2 linked regions of the Struthio camelus genome follow. The protein of the gene in region 1 purifies or fractionates together with the protein of each later gene. This does not show direct contact. Links are inferred from orthologs where the notes say so. Each region holds a gene or a part of one and is shown in the gene's direction. Other genes may lie near its edges. The genes, in order: GPC1 and HADHB.

Evidence for each region.
Region 2: the proteins of GPC1 (region 1) and HADHB purify together in Homo sapiens (co-immunoprecipitation; 3 studies listed by BioGRID and IntAct, counting the BioPlex papers as one, with this or other methods). This does not show direct contact. The link is inferred for Struthio camelus from reciprocal best matches to the Homo sapiens genes GPC1 and HADHB.

The regions. Positions count from the first base shown.
Region 1 is NC_090950.1:8,213,912-8,229,040, reverse strand, and holds the start of GPC1 (glypican-1), read left to right. Parts: upstream 1-7,226; 5' UTR 7,227-7,462; coding exon 7,463-7,619; intron 7,620-15,129. UniProt on the Homo sapiens protein: Cell surface proteoglycan that bears heparan sulfate. Binds, via the heparan sulfate side chains, alpha-4 (V) collagen and participates in Schwann cell myelination.
Region 2 is NC_090944.1:1,809,767-1,825,318, forward strand, and holds the start of HADHB (trifunctional enzyme subunit beta, mitochondrial), read left to right. Parts: upstream 1-8,779; 5' UTR 8,780-9,041; intron 9,042-9,046; exon of another isoform or gene 9,047-9,281; intron 9,282-10,499; exon of another isoform or gene 10,500-10,601; intron 10,602-11,184; 5' UTR 11,185-11,192; coding exon 11,193-11,259; intron 11,260-11,638; coding exon 11,639-11,680; intron 11,681-13,197; coding exon 13,198-13,297; intron 13,298-13,924; coding exon 13,925-13,969; intron 13,970-15,284; coding exon 15,285-15,384; intron 15,385-15,552. Other genes in the region: HADHA (trifunctional enzyme subunit alpha, mitochondrial), read right to left, coding at 326-428, 509-628, 1,714-1,852, 3,101-3,234, 3,956-4,026, 4,116-4,157, 8,683-8,770. UniProt on the Homo sapiens protein: Mitochondrial trifunctional enzyme catalyzes the last three of the four reactions of the mitochondrial beta-oxidation pathway.

The DNA.
Region 1 (15,129 bases):
TGAATCTGTGTTAAAATCTGTTCAGGGCACAAAAACATCAGTCTAGATAATGCTGTGGAAGTAAAGTTGTTATAAGCTTTTCTCTCCCCCTCTTCTCCTTTAGCTCTAGCAAGGAAAAATCAGGAAGTTAAGAAAGGGAAAAGAACAGTGTGGACAGAGCAGCACACAACAGCCACAAATAATCCAATATTTCATAATTTAATTTCACACTCCCTAGGCTGCAGAGGCATTACGGACTGCGGGGAGAATAATCTTAAGAAGGGCGTTGGCTTGGCAATGGGAACATCAGAGCTTACAGAGGTCTGGCAGCTTTCTCAAAGTAAATGTGTGTCCCTCCCTCTCCCTGTCCCTTCCGTATAGATTAAAGTGACCTCTGGAGATAAACTGTACTGAACCGCCCCAAGTGGTTCCGCAGTGTAGCTTTTATTTGTACAGTATGTGAAAGAAGAGTTCAAATTAAATTCCTGGCCTTTCAGAAAAGTTTGTCTGTTCCTTAAAAAAAAAAAAAGAAAGAAAAAAGGCTATTTTATTTTAAAGTCGGAGCTTCTTTCATGGTCCCATGATCTCATGAGCTCTTCGGCTGGCCTGTGACCTTTCAACCTTGCACTACATGTTTCTTTTCTAAATTAGCCAGCGTTGAGACCTCAATGGGGGAATATCGATGTTGTTATAAAAGGCATCGTTCTCTCCCAAAAATGTCAGCATGAGTGAGTCATTGCACCTAACTGCTTAGCTTTTGTAAGGCAGCAAGGAAGATTTGAAAGTGAGATGCAGGATCCCCCGTCCACCGACTTCTATTTAAAGTGCTTTAAAAAGCAACGTCCCTGGCATCGACCACAATAGAGGCAAAGGATCTCAGCTTTGCCCCTTTAGCCACGGAATAACGGTCCTGCCTGAGGCACAATTATGTATGCGATATAAAATTACATGGATACTGCGAACAACTTATTCTCAAGGCTATACTCAAAAGTAACACTGTAAGAAAAAAAAAAAAAAAAGTAAGACAGAATTAAGTGTGCTGGTGATTTCTGTCGTTTCTTACACCCAGGCTCCGTACATCTCCTTGTATTCATGCTCTCTGGTTTCTAGCAGGTTGAAGAAATGAAATCAGATTAAGAGCTCTATTTTTAATCTTCAGAACATGGGTGTGTGTCATCTGGCATCTCGGAAAATCCAGTACTGGATGTTTATGTGGTCCTGACAAAAGAAACTGTACACAGAGCGATACTAAGATCGCAAGCAGATGTTGGATTGTAAAGGCGCCAAATCCTCGACCGGGATAAATCAGTGTATCTTCACTGACATCGGACTATCTTCTGAAGGCTTGGCCTTCAAGCACCCTAAAATTCATGTAGCCATAGTGGATGCGTACACTGTATTTGTGTTGCAAAATGCATAGATCTTAAAATGAAAAACACGCTGGACCAGATCCATTCCAGATGTCACTTTACTTGTGTGCAGCATTGCATCAGAAGTAAAGCTGGCACACATCAAAAAATCTGTGTCACCTGGTAATTATCTTATTAACAACTCAGAGAAAAAGGCATGGGAAGGATGCGTTTCCAAACTCAAATTCAGTTTTTATCGTTTCTGTGTGAAACGCTGTCGAACATTTGCTGTTAGCTGTCCTTCCCGCTCACTGGGGTTTAACCCCAGCTTGCCCGTGCTGCTGGCTGACACCCCTTCGCAGCATCGCCAAAGTCCGTTGTGCAAAGCCCGGGAGCGCGAGAGCCTCTCCTTGCAACTAAAGGCGTTCGGTGCTTTTCAGCACCACAGAATGGGTGTTTCCTCATAGCCAATTTCTCTGTGAAAACAGCCTATGTTATATGTAACTGGATGTGAGGGAAAAAGTAAACACTTGAGCAGGACGTAAGATAATTCTGTTAATTCATTAAAGCGCTTTATGTAGTGTTTAATGTAGCATCAGCTGAGGATAACGCGTCGGCTCGAGGACGCTCTGTTAGCATTGCAGAACGGCTGGATTGCTGCACCACACATCTCTTTCTTTGTGGCTGTAGCTTTTTTTTTCCGCACTGAAGTGCACAGGATGCCTGACCCAGGTCCATATGCCTTGGACCAGTGCTTAGGTGCTGCTGCACTCGTAGGCGCGGAGTTTGCTCCTGCGGGCGCTTTTCTTAAGCCAGTGCCCAGCGACCAATGACAGACTGAGGGGAGATTTCTACTTCATAAAACCCTTTCAAAAACAGCCAAGCTCTGGACATAACCCTCTGAACGATAAGAGGAAGTGGTCCCAACTGTGGTTTTTGCAAGCAGGGGGAGAAATCTGTGTATCACTGTAGTGGCATGCTGAAAACACACATTTCTAACCTAGTAATTTTAGAGCCAGTTCTGAGCCATTTCATATATCAAGCTAAGCCCTGCTTTTATAAAACAGATTCAATACTGTGTCTGTATTCTTCATTCACTGTTACAAACTTGTTGGGGAGCTGGGAGTCAGGAAAGCTTTATTGAAAGTCATGTCCAAAAAGGATGAAATATATTTCCTGGGGCAGACCCAATTAGCAGCAGTTTCTCTAATGAGTTTTTGGCATATATTTATTTTTTGGCCTTTAAGACTGCTTTCTACTGGGAAATCTCTGAGGCACGTATGACACAAGCACGGTCCTACAGGGTGGAGTCGTTGGTAAGAGGTCATTACAGCCATGCATTCCTTTAAGTCACTGCTGGAAAAGTGGGTCGTTCAACCCGAAGCAGAGCACAGAGGGGCAATTAGCCAGATTCTCTGCCTGAAATTATTTGGTGGTTGATAATCTCACCCTACAGAGTACTAACCACACACGCTGGAATTAAGCATTGCATTTAAAGGGAGCTGGTCTGCTCGAATCGAGGGTCCAGCAGCAGCTAGGCTGAGCGTTGGTGTACCCTGCTGCAGCCCCCGTCCTCTTTTCCTCTTCCGCCGTGGCCAGAATTACGAATTTTCTTGCGCCGAGGTCTGACTTCTGGCTTGCTGGGAGCTCCGGTGCTGGGAAGGGTCCCCAGCTCTGTACATCTGTGGAACCATAGTCCTCATTAATTAGCACAGATACACAAATCCCAGCAAGTCTTAGCGCTTCGGTAGAGCAAATGGCTTCTCACGTAGTCAGCTGAGATCAAGCTGGATTTGTCAGTTGTACGTAGGTGACCCAGCAATTTAAAAGGATAGATTTCATATTTTTCTGTGACCAGAGCAATCACGTACGCTCTTCCTGCGCGTGTCCGAAAAGCTTCGGAGGGGTTTGTGTGCAGGAGGGGAGGAGGAGCTGCATGGGTCCCAGTGAGGACGATCCAGTGAAGAAGTCAGCAGCTGCAGATAGCAAGGTGTAATCTAGTAAATCCTCTGGATAACCTAATTAGATTTGATTCAGCAAAGCGCGTGTCCAGCTTGTGCTGAACAGCAGCCAGCCTGGGGGTGGGAGGAGCAGGGGGAGAGCTTGCCTGAACTCCTGCAGGAGCCGGATAGAGCAAGGATGAAAAGAAACAGGCAGAAGAGGTACTGATCTGCTCCTGCTTTGATGAAGGCTTTTAATCTCGAGGTGCCAGATTTTCTGAGGCTTCTGCAGAGTCAAATGTGGCATAAAACCGACTCAGGGAGAGGGGCTGAGGGTTTCATCGTGCAACACCCGCAAGGGAGAGAGAGGAAGCTATAGGCCGCGTAAGCTTTTCCCGGTTCCTTTCCTTTCGCCCTCCCCACTTCCTGTCAGCTCTGTATTTGATACACAATGAAAAAAGTAGACGGGGTCTGCCTACCGATTCAACAGGGTATTTGGGGTTTTGCTGCTCTGCTTTTGTGGTCAGACACTCGGTGGTTGTAGCTCAGCGCAGGTCCGTCATGGAGCCAGCTGGAGCTCTGGGGGATGCGATTGCTTTGCTGCCCCTGCAGCGCTTGATCTGCATTAGTTTGAAAAGAGCATGTCCATGGCGCTGTGAAACTTTCGGAAGTGCTGGAGAAAGAGAAGACGGACGAGAACCTGTGGAAGTCGAGACACTACAAAGCCTCCGCTCATTTATTTTTGAAAGGGTAACTTTCCCGGCTTGTGCCAGGTGATTTGGCTCCTCTTCATCATTCTTACCTCTTTGTAATGCTTGGATCAGCTTTTCAGCAGGCAGCACTTTTTGTCGGGGGCTGACAAGAGGTGATCGCCCCAGCAGGATGGATTTTCTGTCTGCCTCTGACTACCCTCCTGGCTGGCTGTGTGCTTTTCTCCTCTGCATTTTGTCTACTCAGCTTGTGCTTTACTTTGTTCTTTCTTTTCTGCCCCAATTCTAGCTCTTTCTGTGAGGTGCCGGACAAGCTTGCGTTCGCTTTTTGCCAAGCTCCGTTCTTTAAATTGAGCGTGTTCAGAAAGTGGATCTGATCTTCAAACGCACACGAAAGAAATGCGGTTTATAATGCACATAAAAACACATTTTCATCATGACGCTTGGAAGGTGTTGATTTCAGTTTGCTTAAAATGTACCCAGCCCAAATCCTGGGTATGCACACACGCCTTGCCAGCGACAGCAGCACACGCAGTCATGCCTCAGGACAGGCTGAAGATTTGCTTGCTTACGATTGTATCCTATAGAGACGCACAGATAGCTGCTGTGTCACACAGCTCATATCGATTATTTTTAAGCTGTCTTCTCATTATATATAATATGCTATATCTAATAAGTTTGTCATTATGATAGTATGCAAACACCTCACAGGCATGGGGTTGGGTAAGAAACACTGTTATCCCCATTCAGCAGGAAAGTCATGTGCTGAAGGTCACTTAATCAAGGAAATTCGTGGTACCTGCAGCTCTGCTTCTTGAGACGGGTTTGGCAACCAGCGGTGCAGTCTGCACTGGTGATTCGTACCCCAGTGCTTCCCCATGGACACAACAGGGTGACTCTGAACGAGCAGAGCGTGTGCTGCCGGCTCTCTGGATTTTATCAGGAATGACCTGACTTTAGTGTCTGTGCTACAGGCAGTGTTGTCCCCCAGCTCGGGGGAGCGAGATGTGTATGAACAAAGAAGATACTTTTGTCCGTAAAATGATCTATAGCTCAGGGGATGGTTCGCAAGGCCAAAAGCCGAGGGTTTCAGTCCCAGTTCTTCCCGTGTCAGCTGCCAACATGTCCGGGCACTCGCCAGCTGTGCGGTCGCGGAGGGCTTTGTTGTGCTGCGAGCTTGGGCACAGCCACGCCGCACTCCCACAAGGTGCTATCAGGCAGAGCCGGGGGCGAGCCCTGGGTGCACCGCAGAGGCAAGGATCCTACCTTGGGCGCGCAGGAGGAAAAGGGAAAATTAGGTACTGCTTGGGCTCCTGTGTCATCTTCCAGAGCAAATAAGAGGTTTGTGACTCTGCCTTTCTGCTCTTTTAAGTGCTCCGGCTCGGCAGTTTGCATTCGTGGAGTTCATTCCCCTCACCAGACCCGAGCAAGAGCGGTATTAGCTCTGTGCTGTAACTGTTTGACTTTCCCTCTGGAACCAGGAGGAGAAACCACGATCCTGGTGTTTCTGTACTCCTAGCAGTATGTATCCTTGCATGGATTCCGCCAATTTTCTGCTGGTTTTCCGCTGTTACTGTAGTGGGTTGAGTAGATGAGAGCTGTGACGTAGCTCTGTAAGGGCTGTATTCAAAGCCTGGGGTAGGGAAAGAGCTCTGACCATAAAATTACAATAAATAACCAGGAATAAGGGCTGAAATAAACTTGTTCCTCGTAATGAACTTAGAAACCTGTTAATATGCGCGGTACTCATGCACTTAGAAAAGAGAGGGTGGGTCAGACTTTACGTCCATCTGTGGCAGATTTTCCCACGTGTTTCCAGAAACAAGACCTTTTTTCCATGCTCTGGAAACCCCCCCGAGGAAGCTTCAAGCTCAGGCACAGCGAGTTGGGGGGAACTGAAAGCCTTGGTGCTAATGAAGTGGGCGACTGGGCTGTCAGTCGCCTCCGTGGGGTTCCTAACCTGTGCATCACTGATACACCTCTGATCAGCCCAGATGTCACTGTGGTCCAAATGGCCAGCTGCCCTGGCACTGGCACTGGCACACGCCATCGGTGCCCTGCACTAGACCGTGGATTTGTTTTTAGGTAGGGCCCTCATAACAGGACCCTCTTAACTCCACGGCCCAACAACGTCTCGCTCAGTGTCAACTCACTATTCTCAGTAAAGTTTCGGAGGGACTTGCAGACTGCTGTGTAGAAGCTGGGGGGAGCTAGCAAACCTGTATCGTGTGCGTGCTGAGGCTGGGCAAGGCTTGGGCATGGACATCCAGAGCCTCGAAGCCCCGTGTGATCTGTAGAAGATGATTTGGGAGATAGCACAGGCTCATATGACTCAGACTTTTTACAGTTTTAGCTACAGTGACATGTCATTTGAGCTCCTGTGATCTCTGTTAGAGAATTTTCCCTCTTTGCAGTCAGGTCCTCTTCATCTCTTAGGTTGCGTCTCATGGGTGACTTAATTAGGAAAAGTTCATAGGAAATCATTAGGCAATTTCACAGGAAAGGAACATCTTTCCTCTTCTCTCCTGCCATCCTTGCCCTCCCCGGGGCTGTTATTTTGCTGTCACTTCTTTCTCCTTCCTCGTTCCTCAGGAGAGCAAGCAGTCCCTGAAGCAGCAAGACGAGCGACCCGGCTTTCCTACGGATTTGCGCACGTCTGAGTGACTTGCCCGAAAGATGCAGTCTCCCATAGAATTTGCTGTTTCGGGGACCCTGCTGTACCTGGGGTGGGGCTTTCTGTGGGGCTTCTCTGATGTCTAGCAGGGTGCAAGCTCACCCAGGAGCCTCGGCCGGGGCGAGCGTGGGCCCTCCATCCGTCGGCAAGCGTCCTCGTTCCTGGCCACGAGCTGGTGGGCTCGCTCGTGGGAGCCCTCCGGAGGTGACCCGCCACGCGGGCGATGCTCGCGGGGACGCGCCGTGCCCGCAGGGGGACGACTCGGCCAGGGCCGCCCCTCTCGGCCCGCACGCGTCTCCGCGGGGCGGGGCGGGGCGGGGCGGACGCTCACCGAGGTCCCCAGGAGCTCCGCTGCTTCCCGCCGAATCACCGTCAAACAACCCAGCAAGCGGCGGCGGGGCGGGGCGGGGCGGGGGCTGCGCCCCGCGCGGGATTGGCGCGGGCGCCGTGATGCCACGTCCGGCGGGGGAAGCCCTGCCTCGCCCCGCGCCCCCGCGCCCCCGCCCGCCCGGCGCGCAGGTGGTGCCGAGCCGCCGCCGCCGCCGCCGCCGCCGCGCACGCCCCGCCCCGCCCCGCCCCGCCCCGCCCGCCCCGGCCCGGCGGCTCGGCAGCCGGCAGCGTCGCGGCGGGGCTGCCCGGGGCATGCAGCCGCGCTAGGAACAAAAGCGCTTCCGCGGGCCGAGAGCGCGGCGGCACTCGCCTGCCCGCCCCGTCCCTGCCGCTGCCGCCGCGCTGCCCGGGCAGCGGCCCCCGCCGCCGCGGGACCTTGGCGTTGCCCTTCGCGCGGCAGGTGGCGGGCAGCGCAGAAGGATGCGTTTCCTCCCGTGGGGACTGTGGCTGCTGTGTGTCGCCTCGCCCCCGGCCCGCGCGGACAGCGGCGGCAAGGCGAGGAGCTGCGCCGAGGTGCGGCAGCTGTATGGGGCCAAGGGCTTCGGGCTCAGCGGCGTGCCCCAGGCCGAGATCTCCGGTGAGTGGCGGGGGCCGGGGCCGGGGCCGGGGCGGGCAGCGCTCGGCGCCGCCGGGGCTCGGGGCATTGTCTGCGCCGGGCGCCGCCGTCCTGCTCCGAGGCTCCTGCTCGGGGGACGGGGGCGAGTGGAGCGGCGCGGGCAGCCTCGGGGCTGGCAGGCGCTGCAAGGCGAGCAGTGGTGGAGGAGGCATGGGTTTGGGGTTTGGGGTTTCTCCTCTCTTCTCACTCTTCTCTTTGCATGGGAGGCAAACCCTGGCACGGTGTTTTTGGCAGTTAGGAATGAAGCGGGGGGGGGGGGAAACGAGCCTGGGTCAGGTGTGTAATGTGTGGAAGGAACCTGGGCAGCCCGTGCCACCACGCGTCCTCTCGCCTTCGCCCACGGAGGGAGAGCGCGCTCTATTTTCTGACAAACAGTAGTAGACTTCCTTTGTCCAAAACCTCTGGAATATCAAAAGAATATCAAGGTCTAGTTCACAGGGTTGTTTTTTTTTTTTTCTTTCCTACAAGCCTGGGGAAAATATGCTATTTTTTATCTTCTTCTTTATTCTTGTCTAAGTTTTGATACACCGACTTGTGACCCATATCTGAGAGCTTTTGCCTCGCTTGTGGGAGCTTCCTCCTCCAGACAAAGCATGAAACATGCAGGCGTACGTGCCAAAGCCAACCTACAGGGACATCCCAGGAAAAATTGCGGTTCGTAGCTCGCATCTGAGCTACAGAATGCCTTATGCTGAATATCTCACAGGGTAGTTTTCCAGGGAAAGCAATTCGTCGTCTGACCCATGAATGGAAAAGACTGAACCGAATAAACGTCTTATAAATGTGAACAAATTAATACTTTCTTTGTCAAGTTGCAACCAAGAGTGAATTTCCAAAATCAAATGAGCAGTCCTTGAAGTTGAACAGTAGAGAATTTTGAAATCATCAGAACATCACTACTAATAGAATAATGATTCGGTTAAGCAAGAAGGTGGCTTTTTATAAATTTGCCTCTAATTATTACAAATGTGAATACATCAGCAGTCATGTGTTTCAGCTAGAAAGTACTGAGAAGACTACATGTTTATGGGTATTAATGGCGGTGGATCAGGTATTGCGTGGAGCAGTAGTACTACAGGAGCAGTTGTGTAGGATCGCGTGAACTGCATACTACAAGTATGGGGTAGCTGTTGCAGGTTATCTGCGAGTAAAACATCTTTTGCCTGCAGATTGCTCAGATGCAATAAGAGGTAACTGCGAACGTCAAGGTTTTGAGGAGCCGCAAGTCTTGTTTCCGAAGTGCTACTAGTGTGTATGTTGGCGGCCTTAAGCTAGGGGTAGTGAAAACTATAGTATCAAGCTGGGCATCTTTCACACTGTAAGCAGGGGGGAAACTGCCTGGATACGTGTTATAAAAACGTGAGGAATACCACATGGAAAATGCTTGAGGGAGAAGTTTCCACATTTGAAAAATGTGCTGCTGGAAATATTACACACTTGGTATTTGAAACAGCTAACAGACTTAGATTTTTGTTGGTAATTATCACGTGAAACTTCTAACTGATAAGTATTTGGGAATGCCCTTTTCTATTGCTGTAGCACTTATCCCATACGGGGAAAACTGCATGTTGATCGATACGCTTTATTATGGAAAATTTCTGAGGCTGACAGTAAAGGGTGGTGTTGTCAGGTGTACTTGCTAGCTGTTGTGCAGGTTAGAGCAGAAGTCAATGCTAGTTTCCGTGTCCCCCAAAGGGAGGCTCTCAAGACCTTCCTGCAGAATTCCCCCCTCACAAGTACAATATTGCACAGTATTGTAATTTTCAGCGTGCTTTTGAGATGTTCAGCCATCGCTTAAAAGCTAGTTTCAGCGGATTTAGTTAAGCGTGCTGACTGTGGGAGCTGTAACCTGTGTGATGGGAGTCTTGTCAGATTAGATGGGATTGGCGCCTATAAACGTCTACGTATCCACCAACAACAATTTTTGATTAAGTTTAAAAAAAACGCTGAGGATGCTGGTTCAGGGCTGGACCTGTGCTGGGGTCTCCTGAAGCTGGTCATCCCCCTGCGGCCGGTGGAGGTGCGAGCCGCCCCAAGTGCCTCCAGCTTTTGTGTCTTATTTTGAGCCCTCTGGAGGCAGCACCCCTTCACGTTCGTCCTCTCCGTGAGGATCTTGGTCTTCCCATTGCTGGTGACGGACGTCCTTTGAGTCCTGGGGCTATGCTCCAAGAGTGCTGTTGTGCTCCCACGGTGGCTCTGGGTGCTGCCAGGAGGGAGCAGCCAGCTCATGGGCCTGGCGTCTGGACCTCTTCCCCCCCCTTCAAAAAAACATGTCCTCCGCTCTAGTAGCATGGGCTCTGATGCACCCCGAAACGGCTGTGTGTGTTGGGTTTCGCACGTTTACAGCACACACTGCACCTTCTGATCTGTGTTCTTTGTTACGATTTAAGAGGATTATGACTAATATAAAGTCTCCACAGCTCAGCAGAAGGTGGCGGCTGCTTCTGACTGCTCAGCTGGGTTAGATCAGCAGTCGCGCGGTTCCTGTTATTAGCTGGCAAGGAGATAGGGATCTGATGCAGGGATAAACTCTCAGCCCGTCAGATTGCTCAAGAAACACCAAGAAAGGGGTTCCTGGTTTTCTTGCTGATGTTTGTACGGTGCCTATAACACGTTGGAGCACTCTAGATGTGTGAGTAGCTGTTATTAAATGGGGTTAGGGAAAACGCAAGGTGTTATATCTCGTCCCGTTGAAGTCAATGGGAAAATTCCCAAACACGAAAGCAGCATCTGCTCACGTTAGTAATCCCGACAAGCACGTGCACACTTGGCTTCATAGGTGAAGGTCTGCCAAGAGGAAAGTTTCAAATGCTGACGGAGATACTCCCTACCCTTTGGGTATGGGAAAATGATGGCCTTGGCTTCCTTAAGACGTACCGAGTTGAGCAAAGGGTTCCTGTGTGTTAGGGAGTGCTGCAGCTTCTGGTTGGATGACCCTCTTCCCCTTTCTGTGATCCCATACAAAATATGGGATCCCTTGTGGAGGGGGAAAAAAGAGTGAAGCTCCTGCAGAAAACATTGTGCTTCACGGGGACACGTCCAGGTTTGTCCACTGGCCGGACGGCGTGGCTTGGGATGACTGACATCCGATGGGTGACCCCTCCCAGCGGCTTGAGCAGAGATGGTTTCCTCGCTTGCTGGAGGAGGCTTGTGAGTTCTGCTTGCCATGGCTAGGCTTGGAACTTGCTTGCCGTCTAGGCTAGGCTTCTGCTTGTTTATCTCCAAGGTGTAACCTTCCTTGACTGGCTTCCTCTCTGGCTTGACATGGGAGATGGGCGTAACGCAGGAGAAGCAGAGCAGGGCGCAGAGTAAAGGCAGCCGGACTTTGCCGGGCAGTGTCACTGCTCATCTGGTTGCCTGTGTCAAGCACGTGCTTTGCTGGCTGCTTAGCTGAAAGGAATCAGAACCGTTTGTTTTCATCTCCCAGTCCTTTTGGGCTACCTAACCCTGCTTTGTAAGGGAAACGTTGTCAAGGGCGTGTATTAAATAGTCGTTGGAGAAGAGCTAGCCGGGGAAAGAGCAGGCCTGGCAATTTCGCCTTGGTAGAGAGCTGGACTTGGTGAGGCTCTCGGAGTCCAGACAGGGTAATGAAACCCAATTTTGGAGGGCGTTTTAAGTTCCAGCAGTTGCAGTGTACAAGGCGTAAATACAAAGATGGGCAAAACTGCATCGGTGGTCTTAAAAAGAAGAATCTGGGGCTCCTTATCTCCCTGGGACAGATCTTTACTGCTTGAGTTAAAGGGGAGCCTCCGTTGCTCCAGCACTCTTGGAGGTTGTTGTTGTATTTGGTTTGTAACTACGAAATGCAGATGTGATTTCTCAAGGGCAGCTAGATGGTGAACTCCTGAATGCAATATCAACCTGTTTATGCTGATGAATTTAAGGGCAAATTGGAGTGTCCTTTGTAGCCTGCTTGGTTTAGAGGGCCATTTTTAATGAAACCAAGCACGTTGACTGGTGCCTCTTCTCCGTCTGGCAAGTATATTGGTGCAAATGCTAGAGTAGGCCTTGCTTGAACTGTATCTCTCCATATCAGCTTAAATTAAAATCTGTATTCATATAAATATGCATATTTTACACATTGTGATTGTTCTCTTATTTTCTGAATGCAAAACGTGCACATAAAACAATTATGAACATTTCATTTATGGAGAAAAATGGGCTCCCTCTAGTGGTTAATTACAGGACCTACTTGTAGACTTGGATGAGCATCTATCCTGGTGGACTGAGTGCTTCTCTAATTTGTTTTGAAATCTGGAAAGCTCTATACTTAGCTGTTCTTTGGGTTTTGGCTTTCTGGAGTTTTTGTTGTTGTTTAGAGAATCTGTCTTTCTGTCACTGTGATACGGATGACTAAGCTCTCACCACATAATTATCCTTATCAGCTGTGTCTGACAAAACTATTTCAACAGCTTCTTTTGTTGGTGAAGCAAAACATGATTAAGCCCGATATTTTCTCTTCCTGAAAAATTTGCATTTGCGCGTAGCTGGAGACCTCCCTGCCATTTGAAGCTCTGGAGCTCACCTCGCCTCACCTTTTTGTGTTACTGCCCTCCAACTGCCCTGCTTTGTGTAACAGCAAAGGCCAGCCTCTAGGTCAGCCTCTAGGTCAGCCTCTAGGTAGGCAGGAGGTGTCTGATGGGAGCTGTGGGGCTTTTGGCAGGGACCACCAAACAGTTGGTTTAATGTTCTGTTGCTTTCACTACAATTATCTCCCATGGCTGGGACTGGATAGATGGGTGCCTCTGGGTAATTTCAGTAATTAAGTGGGCTTTGACGACTTCTCCAAAAGGGGGAGCGGGGAGGTGAGCTGCAAACTCGGTCATCAAAAGCGTGTATTTGGAGCGGGAAGTTTTATTTTGCTCGCAAGTGGAGAGCGTGGAGCACCTGCCCACTGGCATGGGGTCTGTCCCCACCTGCTGCTGGCTGTTGGGCTCGTGGGGTGGGTGTGAATGGCTTCTATTGCAGTGTCCTATTGCGATAGGCACAGTATAGCAAGTAGTAAAAGCTCGGCGAAAGGGAGGCCACCATTGCGGAGAGCCTCTGGTCTGAGGATCGGTCCCGACCCTGCTGTCCGCTGCAGCCTCTGCGCTGTGGGGCTGGGGCCAGTGCCACGGTTTCAGTCTCTGATGGTGTTGCTGGGGGTCAGGCGTTACCGTGCTGCCGGCTCAGGTGTGGGTGGTGTGAAGTGAGCAACAGGGTAGGAGGGAGGGGGACTGGCAGTTGTTGATGTGGGGACAGCATTTGTATCAACTTTTAGCACTGACCTGGAAAAACTGGCTGGGGATTTTGAGGAAAATGAGGGAAGTAGACATGCCAGTTGTGTGCAGATCTGCAGGCTTCTTAGGAAAACTGGCTTGAACTGCTGCTGCCGCTGCCCTGGCTCCTGCGGAGCACAACGTTCTGCTTTATATTGGGTTTGGCCATCTTTGTGCCGTGTGGTGTTTTGGTGTGCGTGTAGCAGGCAGGCAGCCTTACAGAGGAGTGGTGACAAGAAAGAGTTGCATTCGGACATTCAGTCGGGCTCTGCTGACGTACGTAATGGGGCACGCATTGCCACCGCGCGGGTTTTGCTTTCCCGCAAGCAGCGTGCAAGATAGTACATGTGCACGTTGCTCCTACTCGGAGGAGCCCTGCTGGAAGCCCCTGCAGAGAGTTGTCTTCGCAGTGGGCCTCGCCGTGGTGATGGCAGGGGTCTGCGGGCGGCCACGCCGCCAGCATCTACTGCCCAGCGTGCTCTGCAGCTGCTGGCATGAACCAGCCAGGCGTAGCTCTGAGTGCCTTGGCTATTTGCAGGGGTCCTCTCGTATCTCCATGAGTGCTCTGCGCTACAGAGTGCACATAGCAAACACAGTCACCTTTTCTGCTTTTCACATGGCAAGGTGTCTCTGAAGCAGGGTATAAATCCACAGATGTGCTGGAAGTGTTGCATCTGGTAGCATGGCAGTAAAGCTTAAAGGAGGCCACTTGATGCTGACTTTCATCCACCCCTTCTTAACTTTGTGCCTACGTTGAATCTCTCTTTCTGCAAATCCAAAGCAAGTTCCTCTTTGTTTCCGCCTGTACAAGTTAGATCAGAGTCAGGATGTTTTTTTTTTTCTAGTGCTTCTCCTGCAAACGCTTGCTGCTGAGCACAGCTGTGAGGAGGAAAGAGGAGCGGTCCAGTGGGCAGCATGGTGGAGCAGATGCTGTGCCTGTTCACGTGAAGTGGAGCAAATCGGGGAGTCTCTTCGTCTTCACGTCCCCCTGGAAAAAGTCGCATTCCCCATTCCCTGTCTATCTGAGGACTGATCGTATCTCCCCAGCGGCTGGGAGGATAACTGTGCCCTGTCACTGTAAAAGCCTGCAGGAAGCCTAGTAGCCTACGCTTGAAGGTTCTTCTGTTGCCTCTTGGTTTGTTTGCAGAAATTTGCCTTAGTTGCAGTTGTACGAGGACATTTCCCCTCAAAGTTACCAAAAAATAAATGAAGGTCACAACTCTGTGAAAGCCAGGATTTTCCTTCCTTTCCTATTACATGGGAAGGACAGACTGCCCTCTCCCGTCATGTCTATATACTCTGACACCTCGCTGCTGAGAATATGTTAAGTCCATGACAGGTGAAACCTGTCTTCAAGTAACATTTGATTCCCAGGGAATCAGGTTACTTCCGTTGCCAGATTCAGTTCTGCAAAAAATAATGAAGCTTTAAACTGTAGACACTTAAAATGCTTGCCTATACATGACCCAGCTGTGAGCTGGGTCAGAGGCTTCTGCCCAATAGTGTGCTCCTGTTTTTACTGGAATTTTTGAGACATGGAAAACTTCTTTCTTTTTCCTATGATTTGAGTACGCAGACTGTGCTGTGTGGCAGTTGTTCGCAATGCTCTAGCTCTGTGTTTTAGAAAATACATTAATCACAATTGTGTTGACTGTACAGAGCTTATGAAACTAACTTAATTTTTTGTGCCTTTTCCTATATAATGCAGCATGAATCAAAAGTGCAGAATTACCCAGCTGTTATGAACTTCTATGCTAGCAGCAGGAGTAAAACCATTTTTTAAAAAAGTGCCATGCGTTCTTCTGAAGTATTTACTGTGGTTTCAAAGACCAACAAGATAGTACTTCTGCACACACACAAACTTTTGTGTGACTAAAATGCAAATACTGTATGACAAATAGTTTTGGCTGGCAAAAAAGTTGGTATTTTATAGGACTGTAAAACTCTACAGTATAATTTGGTTGGAGTGCTTCTCAGAGCTCTGGTTTTACCTAAGTCAAAAGCCAGTTATATTTTCTTTTGGCTATCAGTTTTTTTCATAAATAAAAGTGCTGTCAGAAACTTAAGGTTAATTTTCCTTTTTTTTTTTTTTTAACTATAGATTTAAAAAAAAGAGGCTGCTTCAGTCCCTTTTGTTCTCAGTTCATGTTGTTGCAGCAAAGCGTGCAGTGGTTCAATTGTGTAATTTGGTTGTAAAGCGAGGGCCAAGCGTA
Region 2 (15,552 bases), on another chromosome or scaffold:
TGAGGAATGCAGGTTCTTATCTGTACAATTCGCTTATGCAAGAGAGCCAACAGGCCGACCCTTCGCTCTAACCTTTCTCTATTCACTTAGCTTTAGACTGAGCCTGACATGTCAAGGTCCCTGTGCACGTGCTTCTCAGGTGGGAATGGTGGTTGCACTGCAGAGCATCGTAAGGACTTTCCAGACCACACGCTCTGCCTCCATTAGACTGCTGGCTGCATGGAGGGCTTCTCTGCCCATTTCAGCAAGGTGGAGAGGTTAACCGACAGACAGCAGATCAGCTTCCTAAGCAGCTGAAGACAATGCTAGCGTCCTCATGTCTGACCTAGTGGGTCCACCAGCTGGTCAACCAGACCCATCTTCTTTGCTCTGTCAGGACGGATGCTCTTCCCAGTTAGCATCATATCAAAGGCAGCAGGAAGTCCTACCTGCAGGGGCAGAAAGAGGTTTTCAGAGTGGGAGCACGCTGTGAAGCAGAAAGGGCTATTAAGATTTGTCTCCTACTTACCAGCTTTGGCAGCCTCTGAGTGGCCCCTGCCCCTGGCAGGAGTCCCAGTGACACTTCAGGTGTGGCCAAGACCGTTTTCTTGTCCTTTGTTGCTATTCTGTAGTGACAGGCAAGGGCAACCTTAAAATAGGAAGAGAAACCATCTCAAGAGTTCCCGTTGAGAGACCACAGAAGAACTGGGCACCCATCACAAAGCTCCCTTCCACACCCTTCCCCAGCTTTCCTCCTGGCTCACCCCTAGTTCAACTGCCCAAATTCCCTCTGTGCTCATTCATGGCTTCCTCCAGCGAGAAGAGGGCAAACGGGGCTGATGATAGCAAGCAGCTATTGGCATGAACACAAGACTACAGATTTGAGCCAAGCTGTTTTTAAATCTCATCTGGACTCTCGGGGGCTAAATTCATTCACTGCACTCAAGAGCACTGTCCCATTTACAGATCAGCCACGACACTCAGCCCATCACTGGATCACCAAGCCCAGATCCTTCATCACTGTGCTTGCAAAAAGCTGAAATTGCTTGAGAAATCAGTACACAGCTGAAGAGACCCCATTCTCAGAAACAAAGTTATTCCAATGTAGTGAAAACTTTGCTGCAGAAATAATCACAGCGCCTTTCAGTTGACAAAGCCTCCTCCTTCCTCATCACGCTGGGCAGAGATGAGAAGATTAGCTACTTAAAAATGCATAATCCTAAACAGAGATTAGGAAGCAAATACTGCACCCAGCTGAATTGGCAAGCAAGAGAGAATGTAGGCCAGGTTGGAGCCTTACCAGGTTCCCCACACTCATCCTTCTCACAAGAACCTTTAAAAGAAGTTGCTGGGATGTGAGGTTCATTTCAACTGAAAAGAAGCTATTTCCAGCCCGGATTCTGCCAACAGCATTTCTCTAGATCCAATGCCTGCTGGAAACAGCTTGTTTTCCCAGGAGTGCACTCACCTAAATATTAGCCTAGCACGCAGAGATTCATATTTGATTAGCTCTCTTTCAACAGCAGCAGAAAAATTAGCATGGCAGAGCCATGAAGCACAACCAACCCGTTAATTTGCCACAGATTCATTTGAATGGCTGTACAGAATCCACGCCAGGTCTCAGATCCTTCTCGCACCCTTTCAGGATAGTCCTGCGGGCATCATTCGGCTAGTTTGGAGAACTAGCGCTACCAACTCCCACTGCTGCTTGGCAGACCCCAAACTGTCCAGTACCTCCAGTCCTCCTCCCAGGCAGGAGCCACTGATGGCAGCAACTATGGGCTTTGAAGACCGCTCAATTTTTTCTAACATCTTCTGTCCTTCCTGAGAGAGCTGAGTCACTTCCTGAGAAGTCTTGCAGGCGCCAATCATGCTGCAGTGAGGCAGAAAGGCTGATCAGAATTGGAAAAGCGCTGAGAAAACAGCAGTAAAATGGAGAGTGCTTCAAGGATTTTATTCCCCTCTTCCCACAAAGCTCCAATGACTGACAGACAGGCAAGAGCTATTTAGTCCCACAGATTTAGATTAACAGAGAACACAGGAAGACTACTCAAATCAGTGGGTTAAGTCACTGCATACTGACACGGGACTGTGCCTGCAGGCAGTGAATGAGTCTCCTTGTGCCAGAGCTCTGAAAGCCTTTTGGGGAGAGAAGGAAGGGTCACAGGAAGCCTCAAAGCACTTGCCAGGAAGGGTGGAAGGGAGAGCCCAGGATCACATTTGAGAGAAGCAGATGGCCAGTGCTCTGACATTGCACTCCGCCAATTAGAGACTTTCCGAGCCAATTATTCTCACAGAGGCTAGCAGCGTTTGCCAGGCAGGCACTAATCAGCAGGCTTGCTGCACTGAGACCAGCCGAGACCTCTTAAACACAGCCTGTCCTTTTGTCCTGCTTACCAGCTAAAGCTACTGCCTCCTTCCCACCACAGGATAGATCAAGTCTCTGCTCCTGAATAAGGCTGGACAAAAAGGTAACAAGCTCTGGAAGGGCTGATATGCATTTACCTTCTCTGCTCAAAGCTTCCGGATTTTAATGTCTTTAAACAACTGTTCTGTCGTGCCCAATGCAGGACTGGCAATTGACGGCACTCCAGGCCCAGGTGAGAGCACTCATACAGGGCGTACTCGCACCCGACAAGAGTTACCCAGCCTGGGAAGCTGCTCAGATGCTCCATATGGCAGAGAGCCAAGACTGCCCAATCAAGGAGCTGTGCTGGCAGACTGCCAGACACTCAAGATCCAGCTCAAATGAAGTTCTGCATGTAAATTATCTGCTCTCGTTGTGCCCCAGACCAAAGCACAAGGCTTACCCCTGAGCCAGAAAGGGAATTTTCCTTGGCTGCACCCTGGCACGCAGGAAGGAGCGACCCAGTGCTAGAAGCAAATGGGGTTTAATGACTAGCCAGGTTCCTCTTTATCAAGGCCATAACTTCATTTCAGCAAGTCCCTGTCAAGTTATACATCCTGCGCACATGGATTTCATATTCATTCTCTACCTCACCCTTGGGGAGAGGTCAGTGACAAACTGCTCAGTCTTCACAGCACACCAGACCTTTTGCCCGAGATGCTGGACTTTAGAGAAAGCTCCATCAGCATAGTTTCTACTGCCACCCAAACTTACTCAAGATCTGCTCCAGCAATGAAAGAGCCTGGCTTTGAAGAGATGAGGACGGCACTTTTGACAGCTTCATTGGCCCAGACTTCATTCAATACATCACTCATCTCGGAGCTCAATTGTTTGGACAGAGTGTTCACCTGAAGGTAGCCAATACACATTGTAAATAGAGAGCCCACGAGACAGTGGAGTTAAACCTCTGATTAAGTGCTGGACTCAATCATCATATCATCGGAAAACTCTCACAGAAGAAAGACTGAGGAAAAAGCCAAAGCCAATGGTAAGTCTAAATGGATTTTCCAATCTGTCTGAAGGCAGTGGAAGCAGTAGCTCTATAGCCTTTTAAAATTTGCATTCTGGCACAATTCTAATGTTTCTGGGCACACAAATTGAGCCCAGCTTGGCTATAAAGTTCATTTCACCCTGTATCACAACACAGCCAGAAAGAAAACCCCAAGATGAAACCTTGCAGCAGGTTATCAAGTAATCTGCTCTTAAGAAGTTTCTTCTTCAGCCTCACCAATACATGTTTTAAGAGCTTCTAAGCTGTTTTGTTCAACAGAATGGACCCTCTCCTCAGCCACTTTGAATCGAGAACTTAATGTTCAGTGACACCTTGTGCTGGTGAGAGAGACAAGTCAATTTGGTACAAATAAAATATTTCCAGGGGGCACTTCCCAGTATGTTCTTTTATTATATGCCCCGATTCTCATTCTCAAATTTCCACTTTCAAATCTGACTGGCAGCAGGTTAGGAAAGTTCTTAGTCTTCAGTTACCAATTTTCAATGCCTTCTCTGTACTACCTGTATTCCTGCTCTTTCCTCTGATATGCCTATTAATCACAGTCAACAAAACCGCACCTTTGAATCTGGTGTGCTGAAACGTACAACAGCGACATCTCCTTTGATATCACAGCTAACGTGGGTTCTAGCTGGAAACAAACGGAAACACTTTATTAGCTTATGTTTAGTGGATTTTAGGAAAGAAAAATCAACTCACATACAAAAGCTTTACGCTTACCCTGAAGAACAGTGGAGGTGGAGATACCACGGCAAGCATAACCTAAGGAAGAGATGTTGCAGATGTTACAGGCATTCTCGGTAAGCTTTTAAGGTGATCTCAGCTCAGATCTTAATATACTCTCCCATCTTCCCTTATCTGCCGAGGCCGGTGTTTCAGAAAATCCTGAATACCGGCCAGTTCCTTCTGCTATGGCTCGACCTGTGCCACCACCAGAATTCAGTGGACTCCATGCTACTGAAGTGACATTGGCAGGACAGATCCCACACGGGACTTTCCAATAACAGGAATGCCAAACTGAGGGCAAAAATCAAAACCTTTTTACTAAAGAGCTGACAACAGATTAAGCAGGGGACCTACGGAGGGGTTTTGACATTAGGCGTGCACGGTTCAACACTTCTTCACATGCTAAATTAGAGAGACCTTACCACCCTTTGGACACTTTCAAGCCTGCGTATAAAGTTCTCCCCAGACTAAATAGAAATGTCCTAGAATATCTCTGCAAAAATGCACTACTATGCCTGTAAATGTTGGCATTCCAAGTGTTATTGCACAGATCACAGGAAACATAGCTGTTAAGCCACAAAGAAACAGCACACAATGTTTATTCTCTCCTCCACAATCTATCAAGGCAATGGTTGATCCATCTCTACAAATTACATACGCAAGTACCTAGACAAACTTGTCTTGTTTTGAAACTTGCTCTGAAAAAACAGCACGAGGGATGACCAAAATCTGTATAACAGTGAAATGCTACTTTACTCGCACAAATATCCCAGATTCCCCTTTCCTGCCAAGAATTTGTATTCTGCCTGATGATCTCTCACTACGCAAGCGAGTCTCAGTTCTGTTCAAACGACCTTGATCTTGACTGAGAGGATCACCCAACGCAGATCTAGGCTGAATCTCTGCCAAAGCTGTTTGAATTCTCAAAGTCTAAAAGTGTTACTTCTTAAGCAACGTACTGTACACCTACCAATTGGAACACAGCCATTTACTACGCAGCACTGGTAAAACGCTCGGGGCTGAAACAATCCCTGTCCCAGCAGCAAGAAGGCAGAAAACCCAGGAGAACGAAAACAACCTTAAAACCTTGGCCTGCACCTCGCAAACAGACACGCTTCCCTCCCCACAGCCCCGGGCCACGGGCTCGGGGCTAGAGCTCCTTTGCACTTTGACCCTCTTTCCACTTTGTCACAGGTGCTGGCACTGGGGAATGACCTTTGCGCTCCATTCCCCAAGCCCAGGACACCTGGCAGGATGCCACGGGCTGGGGATGGAAACTGTGTGTCAGTCCGTCTCAACAGACTTCTCTTTGATGGGAGCAGGGGGTCACGTACTTGCGATACCATTTTATAAACAAAGCGTGAACTGGTTTCCACTCCAAAGCGGCTTTAAAATATTTATGGGCCTGAACAAGGCCCAGACTGCAATTACTCAGGTCAACATTAATTTCCTTAGACTTTCTGTGCACTAAAGTCGGGTACTCCTGGAACGAAGCACCAGCTCTCATTTTCCACAAAACAGAGCATTGTCTGCCAACAGTTTCTCCACTGACGTACGCACCTCAGCAGAATCCGATGCACTTCATTGGGTTAAAATACCACAATTAGCAAGCCACCCACAGAATCACAGAATGGTGGAGGCTGGAAGGGACCTTCAGAGATCATCCAGTCCAACCCCCTGCTCAAGCAGGGTCACCTAGAGCAGGCTGCCCATCCAACTCCACTACATTAGCCAGGTGAGCACTGAACAATCCTACTGAACGTCTTCACTTTAATCCCTGTATTACTCCATAGTGACAGGCATGGCAGGAACGAGAATCAGATCAAACAAACATCCCAGCTGCAGATCAAGTGATAATGCTTTCCTCCCACACCCTCAGTCAGGCACCTCCTAAAGGTGGGGTGGGGGAAGGAAAATTTTCCAAGAAAATTTTAAACCTTGAATTCCACTTTACCTTTCAGTTTTAAAACAACAGATACAGAGCAGGAAAAAAAAATCATCAAGGGCAAGACAGAACAAACCTCACCGCGTTTCAATATAAGCTCTTTTGGGAAACGTACTGCTGTTAGAGTAACAGTTGCTTATTATTTGAGTGAGGTTTTTTTTTTTTAATTATAACTTTCTGTGTGTTTTTCTTGACAATATTTTATTTTAGGGTCCAGTATACTCTTGGAAAACAATTTCTACGTCTAAAATTAAAAGCACATTTATGCAGTCACAGTACAACTGCTTTAGGTTTTGATTTCATTCAGAAGGAGCTGTGATAACTTGCCAAGATTGAAGCCAGAAAAAACCTCTTCCAAATTCTGTAGGAATAACAGCAGGCCAGATGTACATTTCTGCCATTTTATTAATGTTCATTCTAGAACTAAAAGCCCTGAATATATATTCAATTTTCACTATTTCACATTCTTTGCTCTTTGGACAAATGAAAGACTGTCTGTACAAAGGAACACCAAACACTTCAGAAAATTGTTCTCAGGATTTAGCAGAGAGCTTCAGAAGCAAGCAGGGAATGGAAAAGCCCCCTTTCAAACAATCTGGCTGGGACCTGTTTCGTCCCACTTTCTCTTTCCTCTGTCACTTCCTTGGCTGCTTCCTTGTCCTGCACTTCCCCTTCCTGCCTTTCCATTCCCCCCGAAGCAGCACATCACTTGAAGGGGGAACATCGTCCATAGATGGTTCACGAGGAAAGGCTTCTTGTAGTCCTGGACTGGGCAAGCGCCAGCAGAACAGAAGAGCTGAAGCTCACGAAGACGGCTGTACCTGCGAGCTGATCGCACTGAGCACTGAACTGCGAGCCGCAAGACGGGAAACTTCCAACAAACTGAGCTATTTACTACCACCTCTGGGAACCTGTCAGCATATGGTATGATATATACATAATATACATATACATACGGAAGAGCAGGTAAGGCTAGCTCTTAAGCTTGCACGGCCTTCTGCCTACTTACTGCCTTTTGCAGTTCTTTTTTGGGCTGCCCGTGATAGATTCGCATCCGTTTTGGCAAATACGTTGTTACGGAAGAACAACACGTAGAAAGACTGCTATTAATTATGTCGCATGACGTGACATTAGCCACAGATAGATAGACAGATAGTCCTGACAGCGTTCCCGGAACAAAGTATTTGTAATGAAGAATATTGCCAGTTATAATGAGAAGCCCACAAGAGGCTGTTTAAGCAATCTCTGGAATTACTACCGATCTGCTCGTTATCAGTTGCAGTGCTCTGCTCTTCTAGCGATGAAGTCACATATAAACTTGCTCCAATCCTGCATGTAAAACAGGCATTAGGCTTAAATGAAACACTGCCTGACTTCAGCTCTACATTGACACCAGACCCTAAGGCCCTTCAAAGCAGAGAAATAAGAGCTTGTTTCTAATAAGTCTTAACCTTAGGCCCTCCCCAGGGGCACCTTGCAACTCCTTTCTTTGGTACCTCCGGGACAAAGCACCAAGACTCAGCCGCCAGCAGCCATCGCGCCCAAGCAGGAGGGGGCTCGGGCTCAGTCAGCAGATGGCAACGGAGCAGCGGTCGATGACCGGGACGCTTCTAAACGTGACCTAGACGCGGCCCAAAGACAGCTGGCGAGGCCCCTGCAGACACAGGCACGCATGGGGACGGTGCGTTCCCTCCGCCACGCAGGGACACGGGGGCCCCCTCCCCTCAGGGCCACGCGCACAGACCCCCAAGGACAGAGCTGTCCCCCGGGGGGGCACGCACGCACGGGCGGGGGCAGAACACCCCTTGCCGTGGGCACGCGTGGGAAACCGCTCCTGGGGGACAGCCGCAGGACACCCGCGCGCAAGGGCATGGGGACGCCCCCCCCCCCACCCCGCCACGCACGGATACTGGGGACACGCGCAGCGTGCCAGGACGCGAGCGCACACCCCCTCCCCGTAGGGTCAGCTCGCAGGGCTGCAGGGACCCTCTAGCCTAAAACGTGCCCGCGGGCGAGGACATGGGGACGCCGCCCCAGGGAGGCGCGTGGGAGCACGTCCCGCGTGGGGACACCAACACGTGCAGGCACACCGCTGTCCCCCAGGACGCCCGCGCACCTGGGGGATGGCGGGGGGACACCTGGACGCCCTCCCCCCCGGGCAGGTACCGGCTGTTGGGACACCAGCCGCCCCAGGGACACAGGCATACGGGGGCTGTCCCCTCCCTAGAGCCCCCCAGAAACACGAACACCCGTGGATGCCTCCTAAGAAGACCCCCCCCTTCCTCAGCGACACCTCCCAGTGACACCTAATCCCTCACAGTGACACATACATACATGAGCTCAGTAACCCCTGTCCCTCACCCCCCCCACCCCGGGGACACGCACGCGCGTGGGCACCCCCCCGGGGACACACACACGCGAGGCCCCACTTCCCGGTGCCCCCCCCCGTGCGTGGCCCCACCGCCAGGTGCTTTCCGTGCCCCCACAGCGCCCCTCAGTGACACGCACACGCGTGGGCACCGCCCCGGGAGGCCGCGCCTCCTCCTCCTCCCAACCGCCCGCTCGCTCGCTCCCGGCCCGGCGGCGGGGCCCCACGCTGCCGTCGCCGCAGCTCACCCGGGGGCCGCTGGCGGCGGGGCGGGCAGTGCTTGGCGGCGGCCATGAAGCGCCCCAGGCTGCCGATAGCGCGCACCGCGGCCGCCATCTTTGCTGCGCGCGAGGTCGAGTGAGGGAGAAGCGTCGCGGGCGCCGCCGGGGGCCTTCGGCGCTCCCTGTCCCTCCCTCCCTCCCGGCCCCGCCCCGCCCGCGCCTGCCCGCGCCGCCAACCGCTCCCCCTCCGCCGCCAACCGCTCCCGCCCTCCTCGCTCCACTCTTCTCCCCGCGGCGCCTCGACCGTCCCTCACCTCCTCCGAACGGGAGCGGGCGGGCGGAGCGGCGGGAAGGCGGACAGCCGGGCTGTCAGGGCTGCCGTGTCGGTCAGGCGCGCGTCGGGGCAGCCCGCGCGGGGCGGGGGGAGCGGGGTCCTTCCAGAGTGGCAGCGCGGTGGCGGCGGTGGTGGCAGGAGGGCGCAGGCGGCGGCGGCGGGGCCGGGTCGGGCCGGAGGTGCGCGGGCGACGGCGGCGACGGACCTCATGGGGCGGGGGGGGGACGCGGGACGGAAGTGGGGTTTGCGGGTGTGAGGCGTCCAGAGGTGTGTGAGAGACAGCGGCGTGTAGGTCGGTGTGGGGGTGTGTGTGGGGGGGGGAGTGTGTGTGGGGAGGTGTGTGTGTACGGGAGTGTGTGGGGGGGGTGTAGGGATGTGGGGTGTGTGGGGAGGGGAGTGTGTGGGGGGGGTGGGGGGGAGTGTGTGTAGGGGGGTGTGGGGGGGTGTAGGGATGTGGGGTGTGTGTGGAGGGGAGTGTGTGGGGGGGTGTGGGGAGGTGTGTGCGGAGGGGGGTGTGGGGGGGTGTAGGGATGTGGGGTGTGTGTGGAGGAGAGTGTGTGGGGGGTGTGTGTGGGGTGTGTGGGGGGTGTGGGGAGGTGTGTGTGTAGGGGGGTGTGGGGGGTGTAGGGATGTGGGGAGTGTGTGGAGGGGAGTGTGTGGGGGGGTGTGGGGAGGTGTGTGCGGAGGGGGGTGTGGGGGGGTGTAGGGATGTGGGGTGTGTGTGGAGGGGAGTGTGTGGGGGGGGTGTGGGGAGGTGTGTGCGGAGGGGGGTGTGGGGGGGTGTAGGGATGTGGGGTGTGTGTGGAGGGGAGTGTGTGGGGGGGGTGTGGGGAGGTGTGTGCGGAGGGGGGTGTGGGGGGGTGTAGGGATGTGGGGTGTGTGTGGAGGGGAGTGTGTGGGGGGGGTGTGGGGAGGTGTGTGCGGAGGGGGGTGTGGGGGGGTGTAGGGATGTGGGGTGTGTGTGGAGGAGAGTGTGTGGGGGGTGTGTGTGGGGTGTGTGGGGGGGAGTGTGTGGGGGGGGTGTGGGGAGGTGTGTGTGTAGGGGGGTGTAGGGATGAGGGGAGTGTGTGTGGGGGGGTGTGGGGGGGAGTGTGTGGGGGGTGTGTGGGGGGTGTAGGGGGTCTGTGTGGAGGGGAGTGTGTGTGGGGGGTGTGGGGATGTGGGGGGGAGTGTGGGGGGTGTGGGGATGTGGGGGGGTGTGTAGGGGTGTGGGGGGTGTAGGTGTGGGGGGAGTGTGTGTGGGATATGGGGGGTGCGTGTAGGGGTGGGTGTGTAGGGGGGTGTGGGGGTGTGTGGGGTGTGTGCGTAGGGGGTGTGGGGATGCGTGTAGGGGTGTGGGCAGGTATGGGGAGTATGAGGGTGTGTGTGGGGGGGTGTGAGGGGGTGTGTGTGGGTGTGTGGACATGCATGTGCGCCCGTGGTGTTTGTGAAGGGGTGTTTGTCACGCGCCAGGGCTGTGGGGTGTGAGTCGTGGGTGTGTAGTGCGGGGGGGGGGGGGCGGTGTTAAGCGTTAAAAGCGTGGCAGGATGAGGCGCGTCTTATCCGGAGGCAGCTGAAGAGCAGGAGCAGCAGGGGCCGGTTTGGCCCTCCGCAGGAAGAAGCGCGGCTGGGGGTTTGTCCGCAGGGAAGCCTTGCGGTCCCGCTGCGGAACGAGCACGGAGAAAGCCGCTGGGGGAAGCTTTTGGGGTGGCGGTGGCCAGCTCGTTCTGCTTCCCGTGGGGATACGCCACGAAAGTCACTGAGCTCAGAGTCAGCAGTTGAAATTCAGGGCAGCGGCACGAGGTTGCGCCAAGGAGCGCGCGTTAGGAGAGTCATGCTGGCGGGGAGATTGGCTGGGCTCTGGGACAATTTTCCAGCGGGGAAGTGGTGGAACGGGTATTGCGAGGGGAATCTAAAACTGTGCTGGCTGCTGCGCTGCTGATAGTGATAGTACAGTGCTGGGTCATCAGCGAGATGACTGCTTATTTACAGCAATGTTTGCAAGCCGCAGTCATAAGTCAGACTTCTCACGTGCTAGATGCTGTTCAGAAAGTACAACAGAATGTAATTCCCTGTGCTGCTGCACTTGACTGCCCTTGATGTGTCTTCTCTTCCTCTGCTTTTTTGGCTCTGTGTGAATCAAGCAGTATGCTTACCTTGAAATTGTTCTGAATAAGCCAGATTGGACTAATAGCAGTCTTTCTTCACCTCTCTAGACCTCAAGATGACTTCCATGCTGACCCATATCATCAGAAACCTCCCTGCTTCCTCAGCATGGGCTGCCAGGGTCTGTAAGTATCTTTATGTTCATTAGAGACTTGAACTGGTAGGTCATAAAGTTCTCTTTGTTTTAAGCATTACGTTTGGCAGGGACACTTTTGTCTGAATCTCTGTTACGTTATGGTTTTTTTTTTTTTTTAAACAACTAATTCTGTTGTTGACGTATTTGTTGTTTCCCAGATCTCCCAATATGGGAGGAATCTCATGTTAACTGGTAATATGTACTATGTTGTTTTTATGAACACAGTAACTTAAAAAAAAAACCTTGCAGATATTCAGGTGCACTTGTATTGGAACTTCTTTTTTTTTAACGTTTCTTACAAAAATAAATAGAAATGTTTTTATAATTATAATTTGATAAATGCTCCTTTTGTGGTTCTTGTTTTTCAGCTGCAAGATCACTCAGCTGCTCTTCACAGTTACAGGCAGCAGGTAAAGTGAAAGCTTCAGTGGGTTTCTATTAGAGACTATTTTTGAAGCTGCCTCCCTTTTCCAGATACTCATTCTACATAGATCTCAGAAACACAAGGCAGACTTCGTTAATTCTAGAGGGCCCTTCTAAAGTTGCAAAAAAGTAAAGCTACAGGCAAAACAGTGTTTCCAATAAAGAGTCCTCTAAACATCTGAATCTCCCTCACCCCCAACAACTGTGCCTGGTCTGAAGCTCGTGCCACATTGTCACCTGATAGATTGCTATTTCTAGGATCCTAGACAGAGAGGCTAAGCTAGGAGGTTATAAGCTGTCTGGTTATAACCAAGTCTCTTGCCCGGGAGGGGTGGAGGTTGCCCCTGACTAAGAGAGGCTTGTGGAATTAGCTCAAAGGTCCAGTAAGACCTATGAGAGGCTCAGGTCTCAGTAGAGCGGCTTAGTGTGCACAATTACATTGATTGTTAGATGTGTGTGTTTTTAAGCCGTTTGGGTAGTGTGGGGTTCTGGGATGTGTTCTGGGGTCACTCAGGTGACTGTGATGCTTTGAGCTGCCTGGATTGCAAAAAGACAGCAGCCCCCGCTTGTCTCCTTAGCTTCATCTGGAGAACCCTCTTATATGACTCAAGTTTAGTGCTGGAGTTTCATACTTGTGCTTTCACTTGCTTGAGCACAGTATTTAGCTGGATTTAATCTGCTTTTACATGCCTTTTCCTTTTCTGGCTTGTAAATGCAGCTGCCTCATGCTGCTGTGTCTGCTGGTTAAGAATTGTAAACCTGACTGCATTAGGAAATTCTCATTGAGCTCCTTGTTAATCATCTCTCTAGAACAGCACTGACAGTGGTGTATTAAATGATGCTGTATCATGGCGTTGCTTTGTCTCAAACCTGAGATACTCCCAGGCATTATGAGGGAGTAGCAAGCTACCCACAACAGCTTTGTGCCCTCTTTTTGCTAGTACTTTCCTATGGAAGTGAAAGTTAGTTGACTTCTTGCACTGTGTTTTTATTTACTCTGAATTATCTCACCTTTGCTGTGCAATAGGAGCACATAAGTGAGCAATTGCTATGGAAGGTGGATTGTTTCCAGTCCTTGTTGCTTCCCGAGTGAAAGACTTTGAGGTCTTACCCTGGTTGCTCGTCTTTGAATTTGGTCCGCCTCATTTATATCCTAAGTCATTCAGCATTCTTGGAGGTGTCTTTTCCTGCGATATTTTTGTCAGTAGTAATGGAGTTTGAGGATTATGTTCCTTTATTCTGAGCTGTGCCATTGCCTCGATATAGCTATGGATGAATCTCTCTGCTGATGAGGGAAGCTGAAATTCTGTGTTGTTAAACCATTTTTCACAAACGGCATGCTCAACCAGACAGGGACAAGATTTTGCCTCGCATCTCCTACCTACTCTACTTTTGTCTTATGCACCAAAGGGGACTCTTTCCTGAGTTTTCTAGTAGCTCTAACAGGATCTGGCTTTAAGCTTGCTCATATTCTTGGCAATAATTACTTAAACTTCTCTCTAAGCAGTCCAGCCGAAGAGTAAGAAGACATTAGCCAAAAGTGGCGTGAAGAATATTGTTGTGGTAGAGGGTGTCCGTATTCCATTTTTGCAGTCTGGCACCTCGTAAGTATAAAATAATAAGAAAATACTTTGACTGGGTTAATAGTAGAATCTTTTGGTGGAAAATGTGGAATATGGTTTGCTATGTTGATTTCAATATAGTTACTTTTGTACATAAAAATACTAAGATGGCAAAGTTAGGCTGCTGACAGTTTTTCCAGCTTATATTATGAAAAAACGTGGCTTGAAGAAGATTGGCCATGAATATGAATTCAAAGGAGAATGCAGATTTGTGCTGCACATCTGGAGGAGCCCATTGATGCCCCTGTAGCAGATAAAGCAAAGCGTTTCACAAAACTAGCAGGACAGGGGCGGAGAATCTGCTGCAGACTCTTCTTATTAGACTATTATACCACCAAAATCACAGCTAAATTAGGACCAGAAGGAATATCTTTATTCTATTACTGTTGCTTTTCAGTGCTTTAGTATAGTGAACGTATGCTGACTTACACCTAGATAGTCTTTGTAACCGCAGCTATGAAATGTTTGCTTATGAATGCACTGTCCCTGTGATTCAGAGCATTTCTGGTGTCTTCACCAGTTCTGTGCTGCTGGTGTGCACTTACAGTGAAGAAGACGCCTGCGTTGGTTTCTGACACTAAGTTTCTGCCTCTCTCCTTGAACTTCCAGGTATGCGGATCTTATGCCACATGACTTAGCCAGAGCAGCATTGCAGTAAGTAAATGGACTGTCAGAAGAGCCCAAAAAATTGTCTTCTGCTGGACTCCAGGGTGCTGGTACAGTGACTTCAGCTAAGCTGAGAGCCAAGGTTCTAGTTTTGTTGCTAAACAATACGATCCAAGTGATTCATTTTTCGTGGTCTGCCACTGCCTTAGTAGGGGGTTCAATCAGTAGAGCGTACAATAGACTCGTGCAAAAGAGTATTGTTAAAAGGAGATTGCATTGTTGTGTTGTTTGACTTAATTTCACTTGATTTGGATTCTGACTGTGTATGGTTTTCTAATACAGAGGTCATAGCTACTATCTCAGTGTGCCTAAAGTTCAAGACAGAGACATCTAAGTGACATGGTGATTCAAAGACAACTAAGTGAGACGGAGAGTAACAAGCTAATTCTGTTGTCTTGCACGTTGCTTCCATCCTGCTGTGATTTGACAAGAGCTGTAGGTCACTAGCCGTGTTTTTTTAATTAAGAAACAGGGCAAAAACAGGACATGCTGTCGAGAAGAGTACTGTTGACAAGGCATGACTTGGGGGGCATGGAGATTTCAAGTCACAAGGAAGGATTGTGAGGTGTGGGGTTGGGTGCAGTCGTGCCAAATCTGAATGTCATCTTTGGGGAGCCAGAGGAAGGCCAATTAGGTTGACATGCAGTGTGTCAAGTGTGTGAGGGCTGTGCCACAGAGATTGAAGGCTGAGGTGGTTTTAGTGCACTGCTGGAGAGGAGGTCTTTATTGAGATGTTTTTACTTTTGTTTGGTGTTTTTGTAATGCATGAAACTACATTTGAATCGCACTAGCCTTAATGAATACCCCCAATGGGATTTGCTGTCTTAGCGTATTTGCCAAGATGTTTTGGCAAATGGTGTGATATGTTTTCTAATGAACTGTGAAAACTTAACTGCTCATTTTCTGTGTGTCTTTATGAGACTAATACATGTTCCTACACCGAAGGTAATCGGCTTTGTTATCCCTAAGCCCTTATTCCTTTAATTTTGATATCAGAATGCTCTGAGTTAGGGAAGGTATTAACAGCCGCTTCTCTGAGGAAAGAAGAGTAACTGCTTTCATGAAACTATCTGTGTAGTCATTTATATAGTGATATTATTGCTATGATTATTTGCAGTCTATAGTCATTTGCATCTTTCATCAAGTATATGTGCGTGAAAGATTTCTTCTGAATTAGGGATACAACACGTAGCTCTGTTGTTGCCTTGGTTCTCTGGCCCAGCTGGTAGAAGATGGATGTTTGAAAACCGTGGTGAGGTTATTGCTTACCTGGTACGAATTCTGTTTGTTTCTCTCTTCTCAGAGGGTTGTTGAATCGGACCAGTGTCCCAAAAGATGCTGTTGATTACATTGTTTACGGCACAGTTATCCAGGAAGTGAAAACAAGTAATGTTGCCAGAGAGGTGGGTTATGTGCAGCATTTCTCCTGTAAGCCTGATTTAAGCAGCTAGCATAAAGATAACAAAACCTTATGAAAGATAATCTATTTTTGCAGTTCGTTTAAACATGGTTTGGGAATATAAGCTAGTTGAGCAGTAGTATTGTCCATAAAATAGCTGTGTGGGACTCTG